2 linked regions of the Cricetulus griseus genome follow. The protein of the gene in region 2 binds, or shares a complex with, the protein of the main gene of each other region. Links are inferred from orthologs where the notes say so. Each region holds a gene or a part of one and is shown on either strand. Other genes may lie near its edges.

What was found.
Region 1: mitochondrial import inner membrane translocase subunit Tim23 (region 2) and Timm17b share a complex: the UniProt entries of both Homo sapiens proteins name them as parts of the TIM23 complex. The link is inferred for Cricetulus griseus from reciprocal best matches to the Homo sapiens genes TIMM23 and TIMM17B.

Annotation. Positions count from the first base shown.
Region 1 is NC_048604.1:114,362,659-114,368,937, forward strand, and holds the start of Timm17b (mitochondrial import inner membrane translocase subunit Tim17-B), read left to right. Parts: upstream 1-1,439; 5' UTR 1,440-1,476; coding exon 1,477-1,502; intron 1,503-2,626; coding exon 2,627-2,707; intron 2,708-3,083; coding exon 3,084-3,183; intron 3,184-6,279. Other genes in the region: Pqbp1 (polyglutamine-binding protein 1), read right to left, coding at 624-690. UniProt on the Homo sapiens protein: Essential component of the TIM23 complex, a complex that mediates the translocation of transit peptide-containing proteins across the mitochondrial inner membrane.
Region 2 is NW_023276807.1:187,224,673-187,233,043, forward strand, and holds the start of mitochondrial import inner membrane translocase subunit Tim23, read left to right. Parts: upstream 1-3,860; 5' UTR 3,861-4,011; coding exon 4,012-4,117; intron 4,118-6,418; coding exon 6,419-6,477; intron 6,478-8,371. Other genes in the region: Parg (poly(ADP-ribose) glycohydrolase), read right to left, coding at 3,301-3,520. UniProt on the Homo sapiens protein: Essential component of the TIM23 complex, a complex that mediates the translocation of transit peptide-containing proteins across the mitochondrial inner membrane.

The sequences.
Region 1 (6,279 bases), on a different chromosome or scaffold from region 2:
TCCTGGAACTCATGCTGTAAACCAGGCTGGCCTTGAACCGAAAGAGATCTGCCTGCCTCCACCTCTGGAGTGCTGGGATTAAAGGCGTCCACCACCAATGCCTGGCTAGCTTTATTTTATTTTATTTTGAAGACTGGGTTTTGGGCAAGTTGCCATGGCTGGCCTTGATCTCCTGGGCTCAAGTCATCTTCGTATATTGTCCTCCTAAGTAGGTGATCCTATTGGTACTTGTCACCGTGTCCACTTGATTCATGAGTTAAATTAAACTCTATTCACCAGCCTTACACATCACACAGTACTTACCAAGCAGTAGTAATGGGTATCAGTAAAGTGACATTGAGATGCCTTCCAGGCCATGCAAGGTATCAAGTATCAACAATAAAGCCTATCAAGGAGATATACCTCAATAGTACAGCACATCCAAGAGTTTGGATTTGAACCCAGCAACGCAAAGGGCGGGGGGAAGGGTGTGCGCTTTGGGGCTGAGGATGATGGTAGAGCGCCTGCTCGGCATGCACCTTGGGTTCGACAGGGCGAGGGGCAGAGGTGGGGGAGCTAGAGAACAGAATAACAGACATCTGTTAACACTGACACACGGTATTAGATGCTATTAGCTTTCTCACCGGGCTCCAGATGTTTGAGGATGCCCCTCTTCGCCAAGCGGGTCTGCAGTGCAACAGGGAGCGGCATTGCGGGTTGCTGACCAGACCTAGGAACCGACAGAAGGCAGTGAAGGGCAAATCCGATAAACATTTCAATCAGGATATCCAGTAACCATGCGTCACACTACAGCATGTGCTCATTTGACCCCCCACCTACCTAACTGCGCCAGCAGCTGGAAAGACAGCACAAAAAATGCGTGCTAAAAGATGAAAGAAGTACGTGGCAATACGGTGAGGACTAGTACCACCAGAACTCTACTGACCGGGGCACTGGGGACCGGATGCACCGAAGACCCAGTTCCTCTTCAGGCCAAGGCTCCACCCATCGCCAGAGGGACCAAGCGGAGCTCACCCGCAACCCAGAAATGGGATCACCCAACGTCCCTCTAAGTCAGCACTGTGGGAGGAACCAAGGCGCTGGGATGGGGGTGCAAAAATGCCAACACCATCTTCAGCTTTAAAAGAAAGCTTCCACCTCGGCGTTAGCAGTGCAGCTATGCGGATAATCAAAGTCTGTCACCCTGTCCTCCTCCCCCTCTTTGTCACTATGCTTACCAATATCGAAGGGCTCTTCTTTTAAAGCACAAAACGCTCCCCACTCTCCCCAGGTGTAGTTAACTGGTCGACTCCAGGGCTTGCAGTGAACGGATGTGGCCAGCCTGGCTAGCCAATAAGAGTGCGCCTTTGATCTTACGTAAGCAAAGAAAACCAATAGTTTCCTTGGCCTACGTAAGACGCCTCCGCTCTTGTGGGCGTTTCTGGGGGGGAGTGGCTCGTCTGTGCGACTGTCTGCTCCAGGCCAGACGCTGGCGCCATGGAGGAGTACGCTCGCGAACCTTGGTACGGCGATGGGCACAGGCTTCGGGACAGTCCCTGCGAAGCCCAGGCCAACGACGGGAGGCGGGCGGGGAAGGCAACGGCTACACTGTCAAGTCCCTGACTCGGGAGGCTTAGAAACTTTACTGCCTCGGCGCGTCCGGCCTGGCTCCTCCCACTCGGACTTCGCTAAAAACCGCCACAGTGGAGTGTCCCTGTTGGTGCGGTGTGGGACAAACCACCTCACTCTTCCCCTGACTGTTCTCCTAGAGACTTTTTGTGAGCCAAAAGAGAGACGCTGGGCAAATCCATTCCGGCAGAGGGGGAGGAGAGGCGTGGAGCCAAAACCCACAGTTTCCTCTCGTGGCCTTTCCCAGACTGGTTTTTGACTCCGGTTAGGGCATGTTCATGAATCCACTGTGGGTTAAGGGGTGGGGCCTGGAGCTTCCTCATGGCTTTTGATTTTTCCGTTTTAAATTTTAAAATGACACTGTACAGGGGCTTCCTTGGACGTGCTTCTCCCCCCCCCACCCCTTCGGGGAACAGAGTGCCACCCTGTTCTGCTTTACTTAAATAACATTAGGTAGTTACCACTGTTGAAACCTGCCAACTCTTTGTACATATCAATCCATTTGATTTTTGACAGCAACAAAACAGTTGGATTGATGCTCAGTTGTAATCGAGAGCAATATTCTTCCAGTAATAAGCCCAGCATTTGGAAGGCTATGTAGTGAGGCACCTCCCTCACTCTCAAAAAGAAAAAGAAAAAAAATGTTTTCCCACTTTTGCGCCATAGACAGATTTACAAACGTTTTTGGTTTTGTTTGTTTTGAGCCAAGATCTCACTGTGTAGCCCTGGCTGGCCTGGAACTCTGACTAGGCTGACCTTAAACACACAGATCAACCTGCCTCTGCATCCCAAGTGCTGGGATTAAAGGCATGTGCCACCACGCTCAGAGCAGAAAACCTTTTTCTCTTTTTGGTTTTGGTTTTTCAAGACTGGGTTTCTCTGTCTATCCCTGGCTGTCCTAGAACTCTCTTTGTAGACCAGGCTGGCCTGGAACTCAGATCTGCCTGCCTCTGCCATGCTAGTACTGGGACTAAAGGTGTGCACTACCACTGCCTGGCTGCACAAACTTTCTTTTTAGGACAGGGTCTCCATTCATAGCCCAGGTTGGACTCCAACTTGTGATCCTCCTGCCTCATCTTCCCAAGCATTGTGCTTACAGGTATGTAGAACCATGCCTGGCTTTCCTTTCTGGCTTTATGGGTCATATTAAAAACTGACAGAACTGCCTGGTGGTGGTGGTGGTGGTGGTGGTGGTGGTGCCAGCCTTTAATCCCAGCACTCAGGAGGTAGAGGCAGGCAGATCTCTATGAGTTTGAGGCCAACCTGGTCTACAGAGCAAGTGCCAGGATAGGCTTCAAAGCTACACAGAGAAACCCTGTCTCAAAAAAACAAACAAAAAAAGAACTGATTTGTTATTATCTGAGGTGTTTCTTATCAGTCATGACCTTCCTATTTTGGTTCTCCAAGTTCCAAAGAGTCCAGGCTTGGCAGGGCAGAGTCTCACAGTAACTCTATCTTTTCCTTCCTGCTTGCAGCCCATGGCGAATTGTGGATGATTGCGGTGGAGCCTTCACTATGGGTGTCATTGGTGGTGGAGTCTTCCAGGCTATCAAGGGCTTTCGTAATGCCCCCGTTGTGAGTTGGGCCTTCCTTGGTGGTGTGGGAGTCTGCAGTCTTACTGACATAGAATACTGTTCTGAAAACACATTCATTCACCTACTACTACACATTCACCTACTATTGGCTCCTGGCCCTATGATTTGCGTACCTCTGTTCTTCAACTATCTAGCTGGAGCTCCATGGAAATGCTGTACTGTCAGAAACAGTCTTAGGAGCTAGAAGCATATGTAGGTGGAGTTTTTGTAGGGACTCTGATCAGCTGTTTCGACAGCTGCTTCCCAATTAACCATTCAGACTTATTGTTAATTATAAATGCTTGGCCAATAATTCAGGTGTGAGCCAGGCGGTGGTGGTGCATGCCTTTAATCCCAGCACTCGGGAGGCAGAGGCAGGCAGATCTCTGTGAGTTCGAGGCCAGCCTGGTCTTCAGAGCGAGTGCCAGGATAGGCTCCAAAGCTACACAGAGAAACCCTGTCTCGAAAAACCAATAAAAGTAATAATAATAATAATTCAGGCGTGTTACTAACTAGCTCTTACAACTTAAATTAACCCATTTCTATTAATCTGTGGCTCATGGCTTTTACCTCTCCTGCATGTCCTGCTTCCTCTCCAACTGGCTGGTGACTCCTCTCACTCCACCCTCCTTCCCAGCATTCTTTCCGTCCTGAAAATCCTGCCCATCCATAGTCCAATCAGCTTTTTATTAACAATGAGAGTAATAACATTTATAGTATACAAAGATTGTTCGAAGCAAGTATATAACTCAGTGGTAGAGTAGTTGGTTCATTCCTTAGCAGCAGAATAAAAAGAAAAAGGCTAGTATAAAATCTTAAATGTGTATGCAACATAGATTTTACCTCAAAACAGGACACTTTTTTTGTTTTTTCAAGACAGGGTTTCTCTGTAGGTTTGGAGACTGTCCCAGAACTTTCTTTGAAGACCAGCCTGGCCTGGGACTCACAGAGATCTTCCTGCCTCTGCCTCCTGAGTGCTGGGACTTTAGGCATTCGCCACCACTGCCTGGCATGATTTTACCTCAAAACAGACTCTGGGTTAAAATCCTCTATATAGAAAAATGACAGTAGTTTGACAGAGAGAACAGCCTTTAAATTGAATTGGGGGGCCCTTTTAATATAATTCTACCTTGTCCCTGAAGCTCCCTACCCTTGGAGATCTCATTAGATGTCACTGTTGTAAAAGCAATTATGAGCTGAGTGATAGTGGTGCACACCTTTAATCCCAGCACTTGGGAGGCAGAGGCTGGTGTATCTCTGTGAGTTCCAGGCCAGCCTGGTCTTCAGAGAAAGTTCCAAGACAGTCTCCAAACCTATAGAGAAACCCTGTCTTGAAAAAACAAAAAAAGCAATTATGGGGAAGGGCTGGAGATAAGTCTCAGTGGCTAAGAGTACTTGGCTTTGTAAGCATGAGAACCTGAGTTTGATTCCCCAGCACCTATGTCAAAAGTCAGGCATGGCTGCCTGTGCCTATAACCCCAGCATTAGAAGGGGTGAGGCATAAGACAGGTGTATCCCATGAGCTTGCTGGCCTGTCAGCCTAGCTGGAAGTGGAGCTTGTGGTTCTGTTAAAGACCCTGTCTCAAGAAGAAAAGCAATAGAAGACCCTAACGTTCTTCTCTGACCTCCACATGTTCACACTCCTGCACATTCCTGTGTATATAAGACACACACACACACACACACACACACGCACGCACGCACGCACGCACGCACGCACGCACGCACGCACGCACACAAACACCTTTGAGGCCACCCTGGTCTACATAGTGAGTTCTCAGTATCCGGGACCTTGTCGAAAAACAAAAAAGGGAAGGGGTATGGATCAGAGAGTTCTCAAAAGAAAAAATAAAAATAGCTTAAGAAATACCTCAAAAAGCTTTTAACATCCTTAGCAAATTAGGCAATGCAAATTAAGACTAAGATTTCATTTACTCCAGTCAGAATGGCTGTCAACAAATGCTGGAGGGGATGAGGAGTAAGACATAACTTCCTGCTGGGTGGTGGTACAAGCCTTTAATCCCAGCACTCAGGAGGCAGAGGCAGGTGGACCTCTGTGAGTTCAAGGGCAGCCTGGTCTACAGAGTGAGTTCCAGGACAGCCAGGGCTGTTACACTGAGAAACCCTATCTCGAAATAACAAAAAAGAAAGAAAGAAAAAGGAGAGAGAGATTCCCTTATTCAGCGTTAGTGGGATTGGTGGAAATCAGAATCTTTGAATTCTCAAAGAGCTAAAAAGAAATCTGTCATGTGATCCAGCTATACCACTCCTTAGCAAATACAAAGGACTCAGTATCTTAGTCATGTGTATCTTACTCAAGTATTTGTGTACTCTTTTTTTTTTTTTTTGGTTTTTCGAGACAGGGTTTCTCTGTGTGGCCCTGGATGTCCTGGAACTCGCTCTGTAGACCACGCTGGCCTCGAACTCACAGAAATCAGTCTCCCTAGGGCTGGGATTAAAGGCATGTGCCACCAACAACCAATATAACTTGGTTATTTTTTATTTTTGCAAAGCCCCATACCTAAAGACTGCCTTGAATCTTGAAGACAACTGGGCTTAGACTATTGAGACTCTTAAAGATGGACAGGGTTCCTGTTCCTCTATGAAATAGGTGTGAGCCTTTTTGGAATATATTAGTTACTTTTCTGTTGTTAAAATAAAATCTTTGACCAAGGCAATTTATAGAAGAAAGAGTTTATTTGGGCTTAGAGCTCCAGAGAGATAAGAGTCCATTGTGATGGGGAGGCATGGCAACAAGGAGCATGGCTGCCAAAGCAAGAAGCTAAGAGCTCACATCCTCAATGGCAATCATGAAGCAGAGAGACTGAACTCAAAGTAGGCAAGGCTTTGATGCAGTGGTTCTCAACCTTCCTAATGCTGTGACCCTTTAATGCAGTTCTCATGTTGTGATGCCCCCCCAACCATAACATTATTTCATTGCTACTTCCTAACTGTAATTTTTGCTAGTTATGAATCGTACTGTAAATGTTTTCTGATGGTCTTAGGTGACCCCTGTGGATCCCAAAGGGGTGGCAAGCCACAGGTTGAGAGCCACTATTCTTTCATACATTTTGCTGTCTGAAGCTGTCTTGCTTAC
Region 2 (8,371 bases):
CAATACAATAAAATTCATCTGCATTTTCAAGGAGCACTTCACTTCCGGAAGTCTCCTTTGGCTACACAACTGGGTAAGTCATTTGCTATCAGAATGTGACTAGCATGCTTAGTTCTGCCTAAGCAGAGATTTGCAGATTTCATTCAATATAAGAAATGTATCCATGAAGATAAAAAGATACTGAATAAGCATTTCTCTACTCTACCCACTTTTATGATACCTATATGCAAAAAACTTAAAATGCCTTCCAGAAAAAAAAATCTAAAATTTGCAACAATGGTTTAATGATAAAAACTTAGACCTTGAACATTCTGTTCACTGGTGCTCTCTGGCAGGTATGCAGAAAACACTACCCATGTGAATATTAACTTGATTTCTCTTTGGCAGAAAATGTAAGGTCCAACTAATGAGAAAAGGATGGTAGTCCCAACTTCTCTTAGCAAGCATAAAGTCAGGGGAACCACAGATTACCTAGTTACAGAAGTCAGAGTCATTATCCACAGTTTATCTTCAGTTCCTATTCTTTATAGCAAGCTCTCTGAAATCTACATGCCAAATTTAAAATCCATCCCTTCTTTAAACCCTTAAGTACTTCACTTATTGCGCAACTGGTCTGTATTTCCTCAAACTAGTCTGTTTAGTCTGGACTTTCTTTAATCCAAAGTTTTATAAACTAAAAGTGGCAAACATTAAAAAAAATAGACAATATAGAAACGTATTGAGCTGGGTGCCTTTAATCCTAGCACTTGGGAGGCAGAGGCAGAGGCAGGTGGGTCTCTGTGAGTTCAAGGCCAGCCTGGTCTATATAGTGAGTTCCAAGACAGCGAGGGCTATACAGACAGAAAAAAAAAAAAAAAAAAAAAAAAAGAAGAAAGAAAAAAAGAGAGAAAAAAAAAGAAGGAAAATGGAAGACTATTTCACATAGTAAGAATGTTATTTCATGAAATATTTCAATCACAAACATGGCATATGCATCAACTTGAGTTTTAAACACAGCATTCCTGCCCTCTACCCTAAACTCTGTAGCCCAGAGGCTGGGCTGCCCTTCCCCAAGAGGTTCTTCCCTTATAATGCAGACATTTTGGTTACCCTCCCCTTTTTGGACCTCTGGCATCCTGGCTGCTGCACCCGATTCCCCTCTCTCCCTTCTCTCTCCCCTCAGTCCAGCTCTGGTCATGTCCATTCTGGACTCTTCCAGATATCCCTGCCTCTGACTATGCTCTCCCACATACCTATAATAAACTTTGTCCACCACCATACCTAGGAGCCACTATGTCCTTTCCTTTCCATTTTATTTCTTTTTTTTTTCATTCATTACAGATATTGCTGTGTACCATGGCCTGAAGTTGAAAAAGTGGAAAAGCTACTGCTAACCCATCTTTCTAAAACATTAACCATATGCGTCCCCCCCCCCTTTTTTTTTTTTTAAAAAAAAAAAGCTTCCAGGAGGCCAATTAAATACAGAGTACAGATTAAATTCCTTAAAATGACACAAGTCTATCCACAGTAAAGTTCACCTAAGTCTTCTGCAGCCCCATGTCCTAGTTCTAGTAGAGTTTAGGGATGCCGTTCCTTCTACCTACGTTATTATACCCCCCTCTTATTTCAAGACGTGGGTCAAGCCAGAAGTAGGAATGTACCTGATTAAATATCTTCAAGTTTTGTATTTGGGAGCAGTGATAGGCAGATCTCTCTGAGCAGATCTCCCAGACCAACCAGGGCCCCACAATGAAATCTTGTCAAAAGAAATAAAGAAAGAAAGAAAGAAAAAGACTTGATTCAAACCTACTCCCTAGAGGTTCCAAGGCAGACAAGTGCAACTATTTGCCCTGATCTCTGCCCAGCCTCTTACACTGTGGACCAATGCATTCTTTCGGCAATGTTGTTGGCTCTGGGTGACCACAAGCTAGGCTTTTCTCCTCACTGAGTATTTCTCTCAGGCATCCCCTAAAATGCTGGTGTACCCAAAGGCTCTATCCTTGGTTGTTTTATGTTCTCAAAATATTTGCATGTTCTAACTACACTTATAGCTCCTATTATTATTATTATTATTATTATTATTTATTTTGGGTTTTTCAAGACAGTGTTTCTCTGTGTAGCTTTGGAGCCTACACTGTCTGGCACTTGCTCTAGAGACCAGGCTGGCCTGGAACTCACAGAGATCCGCCTGCCTCTGCCTCCCGAATGCTGGGATTAAAGGCGTGTGCCACCAACGCCCGGCTCCATTATTATTTTTATGCCAAGAACTCCTCAATTTTTCTAGCACAGATGTATTTCTTCTGAGGTACAAACAAACAAAACCAGCATTCTCTGCAGAATCCATCCACTTCTGTTCCCTACTGCCTGCAAAGTCTAAGTGCAAATCATCTCCCACCTAGACCAGCTCCTTTAGTCTTGGGGTTTCAACCAACTTTTCTTTTCCATTTTCTATACACTAACCAACCATACAGAGGATTCAAGAAACAAATTTAATCTACCACACACAAGCATTAAAAACCCCTTATTGGTCTCTAAGTACTCTGAAAACATAAAGTTCACAGTTCTTAGTAATAACCACAGTACTGTCTATACTTCAGTACAGTCGGATCACTTTTCCCTATTTCTCCGCAGCCCATCTCTCACTATGCCACCATTTATTCTACAAGCCAGCTATACTTTTGAAATACCACTTCACTCTTTCTTCGACAGTCTCTAGTATTCATAGTAAGTACCAAATCTTCTGGAGTACTAACTTTGATGTCATAACTAGGTTAAGTACACTTAACTCATACCAAAACAATCTCTCCCTCATGAACAAGAAAACCCATTACTCTTAGCTACACATATTGTACTTGTGCTATTGTCTACCTCTCCTCATAGATTTCAGGGTTTGAAGGCAGAAACCAAGCAACTCATGTTCAACATCGTGTGCCAGGGGGCAAGTAGGATGCCAGCAAGCTAAGACTAACAGCTCTGCACTCTGGGAGTCAGCACCTGACCGTGTAAACTGCAACAGCTTTCACTGCATCTTCTGGAGACTGAAGCGACCTTCTGCTTCATATACACATTTAGACTTCCTTAACAAGGCAAATTCTCTATCCAAGCTGAGGAAAGCATACAGGTGAGATCCACGCGGTTAGCAACTGTCCACCAAAGTTTTCCACACCACAAATGCCAGTAAAAGCTGTAGCCCCTGTCCCCTACGAGTGGCATCTAGTGATTTAACAAGGAGGGCATCAGAGTGGTGATCAGATAGACGTGATTGGAGTCTCATAGTCCTCAGACTCAAACAAGGACAAAGATTTTTATTTTCCCACGTACCAAACGAGGTGGCGCTGCCTCTGTGCGGTCCCGCCCGCCCCGGGACGCGGGCTGGCGAGGACGGTGGGACCCTGAACTGTACGGGAGCGTCCTTGGGGTCGAGAACGCGCCTCTGCCTGCCGGGGAAGCTCCGGGAGTCCGAGGCAGCCGGCGCAGAAGTTCCAGCGGCACTCCAGCGGGGCCGCTTGGTGCAGGGCTCACAGCCGGGGCCCGCACTCATGCTGGGACCCGCAGCGCACAGTCCCCGGGCCGGCCCGGGCAGAGAGCCTCATTCACTAACCCTGACAGGGACGGACTGCGCCTCCTTCTAGGCGCCCCCACCATTCCCACTCTGCGGCGGCCCGCTCCTGCGGCTGCTGCTCCTCGGGCCTCCGAGCCAGACCCTCCCTGCGCAGCCGCTTGCCTCCGCTCGCCGCAGGGAGCCCACCTGCCCCGGACGCGCCGCTTCCACTCGGGCTCGGGCTCAGGCTCCGGCTCCGGCTCACTTTCCCACCACCGGAAAGCAGTAGTCCCGCGCTTCGGACTTCCGGGCCGTACACAGCCGCAAAGCGGAAGTGTGGTGCTTAACGGGAGCCGGCGCCCGGAAGGTCAGCGTGTGAAGGTGGCAGTAGGAACGCGGGTCTTCCCGCTGTTGCTGTGGGGACCACGGCCGAACACACGATCCCGGCCTGAGGTGGTGGTGGGAAGCCCACCGCACTTTGCTGCGACGTCATGGAGGGTGGCGGGGGAAGTGGCAACAAAACCTCCGGCGGCTTAGCTGGCTTCTTCGGAGCAGGAGGAGCGGGCTACTCGCACTCTGATTTGGCCGGCGTTCCGCGTGAGTATCAGGCCTAGCTTGCTACCTCTCTCTGTCTGCTTCCTGGGACAGCTAGAAATGTGTAGCATTCCTTGTCCCCTTTCTTGCTCGCGTTCACAAGGTTCACCGTCAGTGATGGGGTTTCCAGACTGAACGGAATGTGTGTGTGTGTGTGTGTGTGTGTGTGTGTGTGTGTGTGTGTGTGTGTGATAAATCACCGAAACTCGTTAATTGACCTAGTTTCGGGAGGAAACACAAAATGCCTTTAGCACCCTCGTCCCTTCTTTTCTCTCGTTGCACGCATGCCAGTGTGCTTGACCCTGAATTGGGAGACTCTAGTCCTGGAAATAAACATACTCCATTAACAAGCCCATAGTTAATTTTTTTACACGGTCACTAAATATTTCTAAATTAAATGTCGGTTAGGCGAAAACCCCCTTTTTTGAGACAATTCAGGAAACCAGAAGGAGCTGGAAAGGTTATATGCAAGAAAGAAAGAAGCAAAACAGCCGGGCGTTGGTGGCACACGCCTTTAATCCCAGCACTTGGGAGGCAGAGGCAGGCGGATCTTTGTTAGTTCGAGGCCAGCCTGGTCTCCAGAGCGAGTGCCAGGATTGGCTCCAAAGCTACACAGAGAAACTCTGTCTCAAAAAACCAAAAAAAAAAAAAAAAAAAAAAAAAGAAAGAAAAGAAAAGAAAGAAGCAAAACAAATTTTAGAAGGGAAATAAGCAAATGCGAAAAATGCAGAGGCATGAATATCCGGCCTGTTGGCCCTCCTCAATCCCATAAACACGTATTTCAGGCTTTTAAGGTTTGGTAATTTTAGATACTCAGCCTGATATGTAGAATTTGGGCCTGAAGATAATGGGGAGTTGATGGTGAATGGCCCTTGTTAGAGTGGGTGTTTCTTCTTGTTCATCCTTGTAGCATTTTTCTAAATCCTTTATACTTAAGAATAATAATAAAAAGCCCTTTGATGACCCTAATGTCTACTGTCAAAACGGAGTCCAGAACAACGTTCGTGTGTGTCTCAAGTTTTTCTCTGCATGGAGACACAGTAATTATTGCTTTTATGATACATGCATACTGCTGAGGTGAGCCACTTAACATAAAACATTGCAGTTAGGGAGAGATGTCATGAAGGAAATAAAATAGGACCCTGAGAATGATGGTGGGAGGAGGAGGCTGAGAACAGATCAGGGGAAACAACTTGGGAGTTGACATTTGAGCTGTGACCTGAATTTAGCAACAAATGTTTGAGAGACAGAACAAACTTGACATGTTACTTGAACAGCTATTGGGTCTATGTGTCTTTAGAGTTGCAAGGGAGTGAAGTGTTAGAAGATTATAAAAACAGAGAGGCAGGGAACAGCAAATACAAGCTGTTATGAACAAGGGTAAGGGATTTGGATTTGATCTAAAGTGTAGATGGGAGCCTTTAGGGCTGATTTCATAGTTTCCACAGAGTGAGTGGAAGAAGTAAGAGAAGGTAGGTTAAGAAGCTGTTGGTATGAGATATGATGCTTGCACTAGGATGCTAGGTATAACAATGGAAAAACTGAAGCGACGGGACTTAGAATTGGCCGACAGAGTCATGGTGAATGCATACATTTGTGAACCATCAACTGAGATACAGAAGAACCCAAATACTAGATTTTTTTCCCTAAAGTTGGTAGATTTAAGTTTAACCCTCTGAAAGTTTGTATTTTCTTTTCCATTAAGCTTCATCCCTGTGGTAAAACCAAGGATTCTCCTTGCCATAGTACAGAGAAACTGTTAGCAAAATTCTTAGTGTGATCCGAAGGAACTGCCTTGATATACTTCATCTATAGTCAAAACCTCCCAGCCCAACCACTATTTTACTTGAGAGACTGATTACTCTTGCAATTTGCCTGATTTTCTTGCTAGTTAAAGAAACCACTTTTATACATGGTCTGGGAGAGTATGTGAGTATGAGCACTTTCTGCCAAACCTGGTGACCTGAGTTGGATTCCTAGAACCAGACTGGTTAATGGAAGGGACTCCTATGGGACCTCCACTCACACACTAGTGCATACAGAGACACATGAACTCATAAGTAAACCAGTAAATGTAAAAAAATAAAAAATAAACCAAAATAGTAATAACAGCCTAAGCTAATTTTCTGGAAGTCTCATGATTTGACCTATTAGTACCAAAATCCTATGAAAGTGTAGGGCATCAGTGCAAGACCTCAAAATTTCACATTCATTGACTTTCAAGACATGTAACAATCAGCTGAATCAATCCTATGGGAAATAGTTTAAGGAATTTTGTGATATGACATTTTGTTTTCTCTCTAGTAACTGGTATGAATCCCCTGTCTCCATATTTAAATGTGGATCCACGATATCTTGTTCAGGTAAGATGAAGCTTTTACTGGTTTGATCTGGTACATTAGTCTGACACAAAGTTCAAGTGCTTTGTGCTGACAATGGAGGAGGTATTCCTGAAGGGCTAATCTTCCGGTCTCAGTGCACTTTTCATGTCCACCAACTCAGTGCTCTTGGCTTTGTGCTTCTTCTTGAAACCAGTGGTGTTTTCTTCTAAGGTATTTGTTTTGTGTTTTAAATCTACAAAGTGTAGTGAAAAGAATCACAGTAAAGGTGATCTTTGTTTTTTGTTTGTGTGTTTGTTTTTTCTCTTTGATTTTTTTTGAGACCAGGAGTCTCTATGTAACACCAGTTGTCCTGAAACTCACTCTGTTGTCAAAGTTTGTTAGGGAGTCTTTCTGTCCTGCTAGCCAGCTCCCAAATAACCACATGGAGAAAGATTGGCTAATAACTTAGGCTTGTTTCTAACTAGCTCTTGTATTATCATCCTAAAATATCTTTTTAGACCTTAAAACATCTTTTAAATAAGTAGCTTTGGCTTTTATATTTTTCAACCTTATAAACTTATGTATCTCTCTCTTTTTTTAATTTAGTAACTAGGAAAATTATAAAACTGTGACCACCTAGTCTTCAATCTCCATCAGAGACCCAAGAAGGATAAAATATTACTTTAACAGGAATTGCAGAGAAAGCAACCTCTAAAACTAAGAGAAATGACAAAAACAGCTGGCTGCCTGGACAGTCACCTCAGGGTTCCTCTTTGACATTGGGGCATCCATCTTTAGTCTATGGGCCTAGAATATCTGACAGACTTTTCTGTGAAGCAGAAATTTTTGAAAGACTGTCCTACCCTGGCTTGGCAAAGTTGAGTGGTTACTTTTCTGTCTTTTTTTTTTTTTTTTTTTTTTGTTGTTGTTTTTGATTTTTTGGTTGCTGTTGTTATTTTTCAAGACAGGGTTTCTCTGTGTAGCTTTGGAGCCTGTCCAGGAACTCCAGACTGGCCTAGAACTCACACACATGTCTCTGCTTCTGGAGTGCTGGGACTAAGGTGACCCAGCTGGCAGTTGCTTTGTGTCTTGCTTGTCCAGTTTGGACATCATACTCTCAGTAGATGAAGCAAGGCAAACTCCATATGGAGGTTCTTCAATGCCTATCATCTTCTCAAGAAGTAGATTGGTGCTGCCAAGAGCAGCAGTGTCTCACTGTCATAAAAAGCCGTATTATTAAAACATTAAATGCCATATAGGCATATGTAGATCTCTGAAGTGTTTGAAGACTATTTAAAATATTTATCTGAGCCAGGATGTGGTGGCCCATGTCTTTAATCCCAGCAATTGGGAGGCAGAGGTAGGCAGATCTTTGTGAGTTCAAGACCAGCCTGGTCTACAAGAGCTAGTTCCAGGACAGCCTCCAAAGATACAGAGAAACCCTGTCTAGAATTACCCCCCCCCCAAAAAAAAAGAGTCTCTGATTGACCTTTAAAGTATTCCAAACATGACTATAAGTTTGATTATTATAAATGACTAACTACATACATGTATTTCTTTGTTATCCTAAATTGCTTTCAAGGACTAAAACTTTACATTGCATTTATAAATGAGCTGCATAGATACAATATTTTAAGGAATAGAAACATGTAATACAGCATAACAAAAATAACCTTAAATTTGTATCAATGTACAGAGAACCATATCAATGAACAATAAGCCTAGTAGTTGCTTTTTAGTTTAAAAGTAGATTCAATAATCTTCCCTTTTATCCTATCATTCCTATATCCCCCTTTTTTCTTTTCAGAATGAGAGCCCTGAATCTAATCTCCTCTGTTTAGTGGTTTGTTTTTTTTTCCATGACCAATAACAATTTGTAACCAACCCCCTTTATCAATGACAAACACCCATAACCCACCAAATGACTAAAAAACCA